3 linked regions of the Oryzias latipes genome follow. The main gene of each other region encodes a partner of the protein of the gene in region 3 in a complex. Links are inferred from orthologs where the notes say so. Each region holds a gene or a part of one and is shown on either strand. Other genes may lie near its edges.

Region 1 (3,755 bases), on a different chromosome or scaffold from region 3:
ATTGATATCAGTTTCTTAACGGCTAAAAGGTGTATTGCACAGGCTTGGAAAAACATGAGCAGACCTAGCATAAATCAGTGGCTAAAACAAATGTTGTATTGCCTTCCTTTGGAAAGAATAATGTATATCCATAAAAGCAAACAACACCTATTTGAGGAAATTTGGGGACCCTTTATTAATTATATTCAAAAATTAGAACTAATAGATGATTCAACAGATTTTTGATCTCAACTGCACAGAATTTTGCAACCACAGTTTAAAAGCTTTTGAAAAGGAGAGCTGTGATGGTATCATGTAAGAGAAGCAATGTTCGTTGTTAAGTTTTGTTTTATGTAATTATTTTTATTTGTTTGAGTGCAGATATTTGTTTTGAGTGAAATGTCATACAATACAGTTTAGTTTTTTTATTTTTATTTTTTTTTTTTTTATTATTTTATTTCCTTTTTGCTTTTTGTCTTTTTATAAGGAAAACGTAACTGGTATTATTGAAGTTGCTGTGTTGTTATGACTAATTCTTTAAATAAAAAGTTGTGGAAAAAAAAAAAAAAAATCAGATTATTTAATGGTGGTGTGTCCCTTCAAGTTCTCGTCAAGACTAAATAAGTCTGTTGTTCTTTAAATTTGCACGTTAAAGAGGTCTTTCGCTTTAAAAAGAGTTATTTTCTTTGTTTGTTTATTGTTTAACCCTTGTGCTATCCTAGGCACTTTAACATTGGGAGTTGGGTCATCTAGACCCACTAGACAGTGCCCTGAACCTTTTTTCTTCAATGATTTGTGATCTTCACTGGTGTCCATGGATTACATGAAATCTTTCCACCTTTATCCACCTTTGTCATGGTAGGGAGAACACGTCAATGGAAGGGGGGGTCATCTAAGATAGCCCAAGGGTTAAAAAAGCCTCATTTCAACTTGTCTTATAAAAGTAAGACTAAACATGTTTTATGAATTATTTCGTTTGTTTATATGACTAAATGTTATATTCAGTCTGATAAATTAGAGATTAAACTTCTACATATTTCCAATTTTTTCAGAATATCACAGAAACAGCACAGTGATCAACAAAATATTGTTTGATTTTTTTTTGTTTTTTTAGGGATAACAGTTAAATGTGTTTCAGGGACCTTGCATTCATGCAACTGACCGGTAGGTGGCAGCCTATACGAACTGAAAGCCCACGAGCAGAAGCGAACAGCCGAAGAAGAGCAACAACCATAGCAACGGTCTATAACAAGTATGGCGGCGTTCGTCTTTTTAGCTTCGGATTTTTTTTTTATTTTCCTTTTGATTGTTACTGTAAATTCTAACGAAAATTCGACGAGCAGTTATTTTAACTCGACTGCGTGGGATGACCTAAACTTCACATCTGGAACGACGTTTGTTGCATCCACGGAGTCGACGGTGTTGAGCTCAACAACCCGGACCTCCAGCGGTACGGAGCCGCCGCCTCTGCCCGCCGAGCCCCTGCCTGTCTCCGGCCGCCTCCCCACTCCAGTGACCGCTGGTGCGTGTCCTTGAACGCAACACCGTTTTGTTTTGTTTTTGTCTAAAGTAACTCTATTGACGTTGCAAACAGTCCTTAAATTATTTACTTTAACCGTTTTTAATCTTTTTGAATTGCTTGTTCATTTTCTCAAAAAAACCTGCAAGGACCAGGTTATGCAAATGCTTTTCTGCAACTTTGAGCAAAACTTTCTTTAGTTTTTACAAGCTAAGAATCTCAGCAAAATTTGATGAAAGTGAATTTTTAACATAGTGAACAACATATTTCACACATACATCACCAGGTTAAGTCTAAAACCACAACTTTCATTGACCTTTGACCTTGCAAAGAAGCCCCCATCTTGAATTTTTCTTAAAACAGTTCTCTAGTTCACATTTAAACGCTTGGCTTCTACGTCCATGACCCCGTCGGGAAGCTACTTGGGGAAAAAAATCATTGGTTTTAAGGTTTGCAGATTATGAACAGCGTTAGCGTGGTGAGTTTGCAGAAGTGGCGTTTCCCTGTTTTTTACGGGAGCATTGTGAAAATCTAATACATTAATCGTTGGCCCGAGCTAAACAAAATGATATGTCATAACATATGTACATATTAGGAATGAGGGCGTGGTTAGCACATAACCTCCGTTGCCAAGCAAATCTAAAAATTTACTTTTGCCGATCTTTCTAAAAGTTATATAGATGCGTCCGTCACCCCCAGGCGATCAAAAAATTGAATGGTTGCCATGGAGTTAAAACTGACAGAAAAGCCACCAACTTTTTTTTCCCATAAATTTGTCCCGGGCAGCTCTGACCAGGCTTGCAGGGACAATGAGGGCTGTGAAGCAGTGAGGGCCGCTTTCACAACTTCAGTCATTATGTTATTAAAGTTTAAAAAGCAGCTTCATGATCAAAATACCAACATTTAAGGCTTCAAGATTCTGTGCTTGTTGTTGTTTGTAATCCTTTTTTGCTGCTGAAATCAAAAAAGGTGACCATTTCTTATTTGATATTTAAACTTCTCATCGGAGGATAGTTGAACTCTGACCTTCTGACCTCAGCTCTGTGTTTCAGTCGACACGCTGTGTCCCTGTGATGAGCACACGGACGCGTGTGACATCAGCTGCTGCTGTGATGCTGACTGTCAGCAGGAGGTGGCGCTGTTCACCAGCTGCTCAGTCACTGACGTGAGGTGAGTTTCAGCCGGAGGGAATCAATATCCAACACACTACTGCCCACCCATACGTTCAGGGGAACACATGTTTGCTTCTCATGACGTTAGGAATGTCAGCCGTGACCCATCATGCTTTGCCAGTCCACACCGTTATGGTTCCTGTTTGAAGAAGAGAAAAAATCGTTTCTTTTAAACCCACAGCTGTGACTCAAAGATCTGCTTCACCTTTGTTGACATTTTGAATATTTGAATGAAATGAGCTCCTAAGTGCAGATTAAGGAAACTTTCCATTTTTATACATATATAAGATTTTTTTTTTTAAAAGACGGGGAAAATAGGATCATTATGGCTCATTTACCTGTTCACAGGTAAAATCACCTGAGACAGCAGCACAAAGACAGCAGACAAGCTCAAAATTAAAAATAAATACTCCATAGTGCTTCATTTCTGGCTGGATTTCTGTTTTGGGTGTTTTAAGTCAGATTTAATCTCAGTTTTTCATTGTTATTTCTTCACTCACAGTGACAGCAGGCAGCTGTGCAGCCGCGGCGTGGCGAGCTACGCTTTGAGAACACGAATTGACGGTTTTTCCGAGCTTCTCACCTCCATCAAAAAGGAGACAAACTATGACCTTTTCTGCATCCATTCATACAACCGTGAGTCAGAGCTCCTCCTGAAGCTCATGTTTATGTTTTTACACACATTCTGAACAAAATTATCTGTATTTTAAACTTTCATTTAAACAAAAAAAAAATCAATGGATGATTTCTGAAAGTCAAGCCTGCAGGTTTCTGTCACATTTCTACAAATATGTCAGAATGATGTTGACATTTAGTTTGTCTTTTAAAAATTAGGGCTTTATTCGAGAAAAACAATTCCAGAAACAGCCAGTTTTTTAAGTAAAATCTGCTAACAGGAGCTGTAAAAACAGCAGAATTCAATTGTCTTAAATGCCGAAAATTAACTCATTCAAACACATTTTCTTCAGAAGTTTCCATATTGAATTTTTTATTTAATATTTTCACGATATCTGTTTTTTATCTAAGCCTTAGGATTTCAAGAACTTCATCCACTTTCATATTTATTTACCTTTTTACGTACAATT
Region 2 (3,655 bases), on a different chromosome or scaffold from region 3:
CACGATCGTAGGAAACTGGAAAACTTCCTACTGGAGTGCAGAAAAGTGGGCGTGTGAACATGAAATCAATTTTTTTTTCATGATTTGGAGCACAAACTCTGACCCAACCGTTTATTTTAAAACAAAAATGAAGCTTAATTAATGACAATTTTTTAAGCCATGTTCATGTTGGTGTTTTTATTTGCTAGTTGTTTTGTTGTTTTAAACTATCAGAGCATCTTACTTTTAACAAGTAAACGTGCAAGACTGCAGGTGTTTATATTATTGATAGTTTAAAAGAAAAAAATGCAAATTACAATCTTTTTTACATAGTTAAAGATTAAATTGCAAGCACATAAAAGCCTTTCTAACCTAGGTCAGTGTTGTAAATCCTCATAAAATCAAAGAACACGTTCTCTAAAAATAAAATGCATTAGTTTCTTAACTAAATGACGCTTCACAAAAGATAAAAATCTATTTTTTTTTCATTTGATATTCACTGAGAAACAGCATACAAACAGCAAAGAAATCAATTAAGCTTTATCAAAAGCCCATTAGGGTCAACTACCACAATCCATGAAACCAATACTTTATTTTTCACCTGTAACTTATATACAGTGTGGCTTCAAAATTATAAAAATGACATAAAAAGTTGGGTTTGTTTTAAAAAAAAAAAGGATGTTGCTTTAATTAAAATAACAAATGTATAACAACAATGAAACTTCAAATATTTTGTAGCAAAAACATTTATTTGTAGAATTATATGCAATAAAATGCAAAAACTACCCCAACAAATTAAAATCAGCTGATTTTTTTTTCCTGACAGTAATCCTGAGAACATGATCTCTTTTAGCCAAACTGGCATCGTTTTTAAAATCCTATTCTGAACCAAGCACCATTCATCCCTGTATCAAGTATAGCAAAAGAACAGATGCATAAATTGTGCATAGGCTGATCAAATGAGAATGACGAGATCCTTAAGACCGGCTCTAAAAAGAAGGAGAAGACTATAGAGATTGCTTGATTTGTGAAAAAGATGTTTCAGGAGGATTTCAATTTCTATTTTTACAGTAGACTGTAACAATAGTTTTGTACTGTTAAGGGGCAGATCAATAATAATTTAACTGAGTTTAAATGAGAAAAAAGCTAAATGTCTTTAACTGAAAGTTGGTATGGTGCTTCATGGAACCAGGTTAAAGTAAAGCAGCAGAGGGTCAGGTAAATTGAGATTAGCTCTGAGAAGATCCTTTTGAGGGACATGAAGCAAGAGTCTCTGTTTTGCCCCAAATAGACCCGTTGATGTAGGGAAACGACACAAAGGCTTTCCTGGTTAGTGGCTAATTCAGCTTCATTCTGTTAATCACTAGGCTATTTCTGACAGTAAAAAGTAAGCTTTAGTAGATTTAAACAGCACCAGAACATTTCTCGTATCTGCGTACATCAGTAGGTACTGGCAGAACATGAGCGCAGCAGCTTCTGTAGAGGGCAGGAGGTGAAAAGCAGCTTAGAACTTGTAAAAGAGTTAATTGCAACAAAAAAAAACTCCCGAGTGGATTTTCAACAAGTTCCTTAGCCATTAAAAACTGCTGTGAAATTTGCCTGTAGTTTCTAAGGCAGGTGTGGTCACTTTTTCCACATTTTGGTGGATTGATGTATGTTTTGCATCATTACAACCTGACAAAGTGACTTATTAATCCTTAAAACATGAAATGTTCCACAGATGCTCACTGGACCGGTCACTAGAGAGTCATCTTTGCAAAATTCTGAGTCTGTGCCAGGATCTTCTTCCACTCAGTCCCACTGAAAGTTTGGTTTTCAGTCTCATGCTGAGGATTCCTGTTGGAGTTGGGAACCAGTGTTTATTACGCCTCTCGGAAAACTTTCTCTGGCCTCCTGCATCTTTTTCCTCGCTCTCTGAAAAGCCTCTGACAGAGAAAAACATGAAACGTGTTAAATGAAACTATTATTAACATTTAAATACAGCACATTTTAAATCCTAATTGCATCCCAATAGCCCAACAAATGTTGATCCCTAAATAAAGTTCAGACCTCCAGAATTTCAGTGCAAAGAGGCTTGGAAGTCAAATGGATTTTTTGTTTTTTTTTACCCAGAATGTTGCAAACAGCTCCTTGTTGACTAAATCCTCCCAAATGCTCAAAAACCTTCTGTCTCCTCCTTTTCAGAACAGCAGCATCCACAAATGCCCTGAAATGTACACACGGACACAAAAGACCACTGTAGTTATGTTGCTGGCAGACTGAGACCTGTTTGACGCTTACCTGACACTCACCTGGCTTGCTGGATGCAGTGCAGGTTAAAAGTGACGCTTCCTGTGGTTACAGTGCAGAAACCAAAGCGACTCAGCCTGTCCCCCTGATACAAAAATGTTAGAGAATAACAACAAAAAACATACACATACTGTAAATACTAAAACACCTTTGTTTCAATCATGTATCAAAAGCAAGTCCCTGTTTATCAAAAACCCAAAGAAATCATTTTTTTCAAAGTCTGTTGGTTATTCTGATATTTGCACTCCGTTAAATGGTTTCCACCAGAATGTCACAGTAAATGCAAATTATTGATTTTTTTATTCAAAAGTGTACAATTTAATTCAATATATAGCAGCAAAAATTAAAATAATCATCAATTTGTTTTCAGATTTCTATCCTAAGTCCAATTTTTTGGATTACTTAAATAGTGATTTAAAAAAAGAAAACGTTTAATTTTTGCTTTGACAAATAATATTCACAAAAATGTATTTCAGAAATGGAAGAATCAATAATTTTATTGAAGTTAGGATTGACTCAATTTCAACTGACAATTGAAACCCAGCTGCCCAAGGAGTATGTATCGATAAAATCACAACATATTTATTTAACTTTATACCTGATAAAAATCAACATCAATTGTCTAAAACTTTGTTTGAGCCAGCTTTGATTCACCTTGAATGTTCCTGGAGTTCTGACATAACTGTCATCTTCAAGCTCAGCAGAACCTCCAATAAAGAAGCGCTTCATTGCAGACACAGTCCCTGTCTGAACAGGCCTCCATGTGTGACATGTCATGGTATGTTTACCTGGTATACAAACACAAACAAGATGTAGAAACACTAACCATTTAGAAATCCCTTGATTAAATGTGAACAGTAACAAAATAAACTGAATTTAAATGAGATTTCAGGAAATACATCGTACCGGGCGTGGCAGGAAAAAGCAGATAACCATAGCCTTCCGTTCGATAGCGCTGCCAGAAGTCCAAGGAAAGAACCTTGAAGTAAATCACTGGCCACTGAGGAATGCCTTCTAAAGTAAGATAAAACCTGGATTCATAAAACATAAACTATGCTATAATACTTAACAGCTGATACTAACCTTCACCGTCTTTTTGCTTCATATAAAGAGCCTCAAAAGTGAAGGGATAGCTGAAGAAAGCCACATCTTCCTGTAGACGGAGAGTTTGTTGAGGGTTTAACAACTTCCACTCAAAAAAGTGGTTTAGTCTCTTACATGCAAGTTGTTTCTCTTTCGGCTTTTCCCATCAGGGGTCGCCACAGCGAACGAGCCGCATGGTAAACTTGGCAATGTTTTACGCCGGATGCCCTTCCTGACGCAAGCCTCTCAAAGCAACCGGGCTTGGGACCGGCACAGAGGTAGAGAAGGGAACAGGGAGCAGCCC
Region 3 (3,247 bases):
ATTCCATGGACATTGTTCTTTGCGACATGAAAAACAAACATAAAAAAGAACAAAAATTTTTTATCATTATAACTGATTGAATACTATGAATACTTCTCTTTTTTAGTAGTGCGGACAGTTAAGACACCCATTAAGCTTAAAAATAAAATAAATGACTGTGTGCTGCATTAATACTTGGTTTCTTGTGAGTATCACCATGTTCTCATTTTCTATCACTATTAACTAAGATTTTCATTTAATAGTATAAAAAGCACAGATAATTTGATTCTGGCAAAAATATATATCATTCACTGAGGCGGAGTCCAAGAGTACACCTTTAAGTGATTGCTTAACAAATAAACAAACCTATTTTAGGCTGATATCACAAAATATACCATGCATTATCTATGATATAACTACGGCATTGTTTTAATTCATTTGAAATATTAGTCAATCACAGTACTGTATTGAAATGGATAATGTACATTTATCTTAACATTCAGATTAAGTGGTATCAGTAATACAAATCAGATGTTGGCCTTGATTTTAAATCAAAACTCAACACAACTTTGCCTTCATATGAAAACCTTTTAATTAAAAAAAAGTGTAGAAATATGTCAAAAAAAATACAACATTATAAACCAGCAGTAAAAAGCATTGTACAAATGATTTTGAAAAGGCGAAACTGAAAATGATCAACTTTAAAAAAAATTAAGGACCTTCAACAACATTTTTATATCAAAAATCTCTGATCCACCAGTGTTTTATTGACAAGGTTCCTCCTTCCAAGTGTGTTTCGGATGAAGCGAAACATCTGCAAAACACAGAACAATATTAATGATAGCCACAGTGCATTTCACCACAATGAAAACAACACACTGAGATAATTAGAATACTTGCCGCTTGCTGTAAGTAAGTAAGAACAGCTGCTAGAACAAAGTTTTGGGATCCCAGGTCGACAACACAGAAGAACAAAGTGTCAAAGATCAGCAGTGTGGCCTCGTTTCCATAAAAAAGCACGTCACTGAACGAGTGTCTTTCATCTATTGGGAAAAAATGACAAAGGTACATCTTTCATATACCAAAACAATAAAAGGGATATTAAATATTAAGATCGACAAGGCTGTTACCATTGTAAAATATGCTTTTGTCAATGGGTTCAAGAAACTCCATCCCTATGACTCTCTCCAACGTCAGTTTATCCTTGACTATGTAGTCCATCTCAGGGTGCGCCTAAGGTAAACAATATAACAACAATTTATAAAGCACAAATTATATCGTAGTAACAAATTCATCAACAATTGATTCAACAAAACTATGTTGTTTTCCGAATGTCTCACAACATATTCATACTAACATGGTCTATAACAGATGCCAGGAAGTGGTTCATGGTGTTGTAGGCTTTGAACTGTAGCTCTGACAAGTTAGCTGCAGACGCATCTATCAACCGAGATGGTCTGTTCCTCTGGAGAACAGAACACAACCATTTGAACAAAAGAGAAGTTTTATTTTTCAGGGACATACAGACATAAAAGAGCTGAGTACAAACCCTGCTGAGTGAATCCTGTATCCTGTCATACTGCAGCCTCAAACGGTTTGTAAACGAGACCTGAAAGGTCTGAATGTCTGTGTTGGAAAGGAGACCTCTCTGGCCACACAGAGATTCCTTATAATGGAAAAAAAAAGGCATGAGGGAAGAACACATTCATAATGTTAGGTTTATGCAATAAGATCACAAATAAAATGTAACTCTAATTGGAAAAGCAGAGATTTGGTAGCCATACACGCTCTCTCTTCAGATTGTTGTTCATTTCCTCCATGTTTGTGTCTGCATGCCCGTGCACTGACCGGCCATGAATGTAGTAGCCAAAACAGCGATGAGAGAAAAGCAGCACTGAAATCTGCACAGAGGGAGTTAAAACCCATTTCTTTGAAGTGTTACAGAGGTTTTGATTAACAGCACATCATGCAGTGTTACTTACGTTGCTGACGGAGCAGAGATCCACAAACTGACGGATTTTATCCTCCACGAAGTGCTCATAAAAGACGGTGAAGAAAATCACCTGTGGGAACAAAAGGGCTTCTGTGACAGGATGCATGTCTGCTAAATATTAGTAGACACAAGATCATGTGAAAGAATAAATGGAGGAGATTTTATGGCCATTTACCTGCAATAGCCCAATACATATCCAAAGTGTGGCAGCGAGACCATAGCGAAGAATCAGACTGTAAGGAGGGGTGTAGGCTGCTGGGGAACGCTCTAATGTTGACCAGGGGTCTCTCAGGGCCAGATTGGAGAAGCCCAGCACCTGAACAACACATGACAGTTTGTCAAAAGCTAGAAAGACGGAGTGGATGTGTGCTCTTGTGTTTTTGTACCTCAAGAAAGAAAAGCACGGCCATTATTTGAAACGTTGGGCTGATCTTTCGGACGGTCTGGAGCTCATTCCACTCATTGGCCACAAAGTAAGTCCTCCAGATGCTGACTGGAGAGGGTTCCTGTTTTGTTTCCTTAGTAGCTGAAACAGCAAAAAATATTTTAAAAGGACAAACAGCAGCAAAGATGAATGTGTCCCAAAAGCAGGTTGTACCTGGCACTGTTCTGCTAGCTTTACTTCGTGGCCTCTCCCAGTCAATGAGAAATACATCAACGGTGACTTGCAGAATCAGTTTATTGAGAAACTGGACAGCCTGGATACAGAAATAATATATTTTAAATGTAGTGGTTTACATTTACAAAGTGGGTTTTAAATAACAATAGGTTTCATTTTAGCCTGTGCAAAGTTCAGGGTTTTACCTTGAGAGCAAAGGCGCATCCGATGTATGTCTCAAACTGCTCCTCCTGAGCAGGCAGTGGCAAAAGCACCGACACAAACTGTTGGGCCTACACAAAAACGGAAATCATTTAAATATAGAACGCCGCCAACAACAGCTGGAACTTAATGGGCATTTAAAGAAAAATGATCATGGAAGAAAAAGAAGACTCGCCTTTAAAGACTAAAGAGAGCAGAGGTGGAAGTGCAAAGAAAGAAGTGAAAAACAAAAAGATAACACAGTGCTTGTACAAAAAAAACAATGTAAACATGTCTAGAAAAGAGATAAAGCACAGTAAGACATGACAGAGTTTAAAGACTCATCATACTCTAGAAATAAATTATTTGTTTAAGTTTGAGGGACTCAACATACCTTGTAAAATATGAGCCAGTAAAGCCCAGTTCCCACAGTTACGGCAAAGAAAACATTAGCCAAATCTCCAGCATAAAACAAC

The links.
Region 1: tmem67 (region 3) and tctn1 share a complex: the UniProt entries of both Homo sapiens proteins name them as parts of the tectonic-like complex. The link is inferred for Oryzias latipes from reciprocal best matches to the Homo sapiens genes TMEM67 and TCTN1.
Region 2: tmem67 (region 3) and mks1 share a complex: the UniProt entries of both Homo sapiens proteins name them as parts of the tectonic-like complex. The link is inferred for Oryzias latipes from reciprocal best matches to the Homo sapiens genes TMEM67 and MKS1.

What each region holds. Positions count from the first base shown.
Region 1 is NC_019868.2:27,625,279-27,629,033, forward strand, and holds the start of tctn1 (tectonic-1), read left to right. Parts: upstream 1-1,150; 5' UTR 1,151-1,233; coding exon 1,234-1,501; intron 1,502-2,550; coding exon 2,551-2,668; intron 2,669-3,172; coding exon 3,173-3,306; intron 3,307-3,755. UniProt on the Homo sapiens protein: Component of the tectonic-like complex, a complex localized at the transition zone of primary cilia and acting as a barrier that prevents diffusion of transmembrane proteins between the cilia and plasma membranes.
Region 2 is NC_019872.2:25,021,705-25,025,359, reverse strand, and holds the end of mks1 (Meckel syndrome type 1 protein), read right to left. Parts: intron 3,422-3,655; coding exon 3,352-3,421; intron 3,283-3,351; coding exon 3,175-3,282; intron 3,057-3,174; coding exon 2,923-3,056; intron 2,354-2,922; coding exon 2,271-2,353; intron 2,186-2,270; coding exon 2,088-2,185; intron 1,905-2,087; coding exon 1,801-1,904; 3' UTR 555-1,800; downstream 1-554. UniProt on the Homo sapiens protein: Component of the tectonic-like complex, a complex localized at the transition zone of primary cilia and acting as a barrier that prevents diffusion of transmembrane proteins between the cilia and plasma membranes.
Region 3 is NC_019874.2:17,690,665-17,693,911, reverse strand, and holds the end of tmem67 (meckelin), read right to left. Parts: coding exon 3,166-3,247; intron 2,977-3,165; coding exon 2,968-2,976; intron 2,864-2,967; coding exon 2,777-2,863; intron 2,671-2,776; coding exon 2,571-2,670; intron 2,499-2,570; coding exon 2,359-2,498; intron 2,289-2,358; coding exon 2,148-2,288; intron 2,043-2,147; coding exon 1,962-2,042; intron 1,881-1,961; coding exon 1,764-1,880; intron 1,646-1,763; coding exon 1,529-1,645; intron 1,445-1,528; coding exon 1,337-1,444; intron 1,213-1,336; coding exon 1,110-1,212; intron 1,023-1,109; coding exon 880-1,022; intron 794-879; coding exon 713-793; 3' UTR 548-712; downstream 1-547. UniProt on the Homo sapiens protein: Required for ciliary structure and function. Part of the tectonic-like complex which is required for tissue-specific ciliogenesis and may regulate ciliary membrane composition.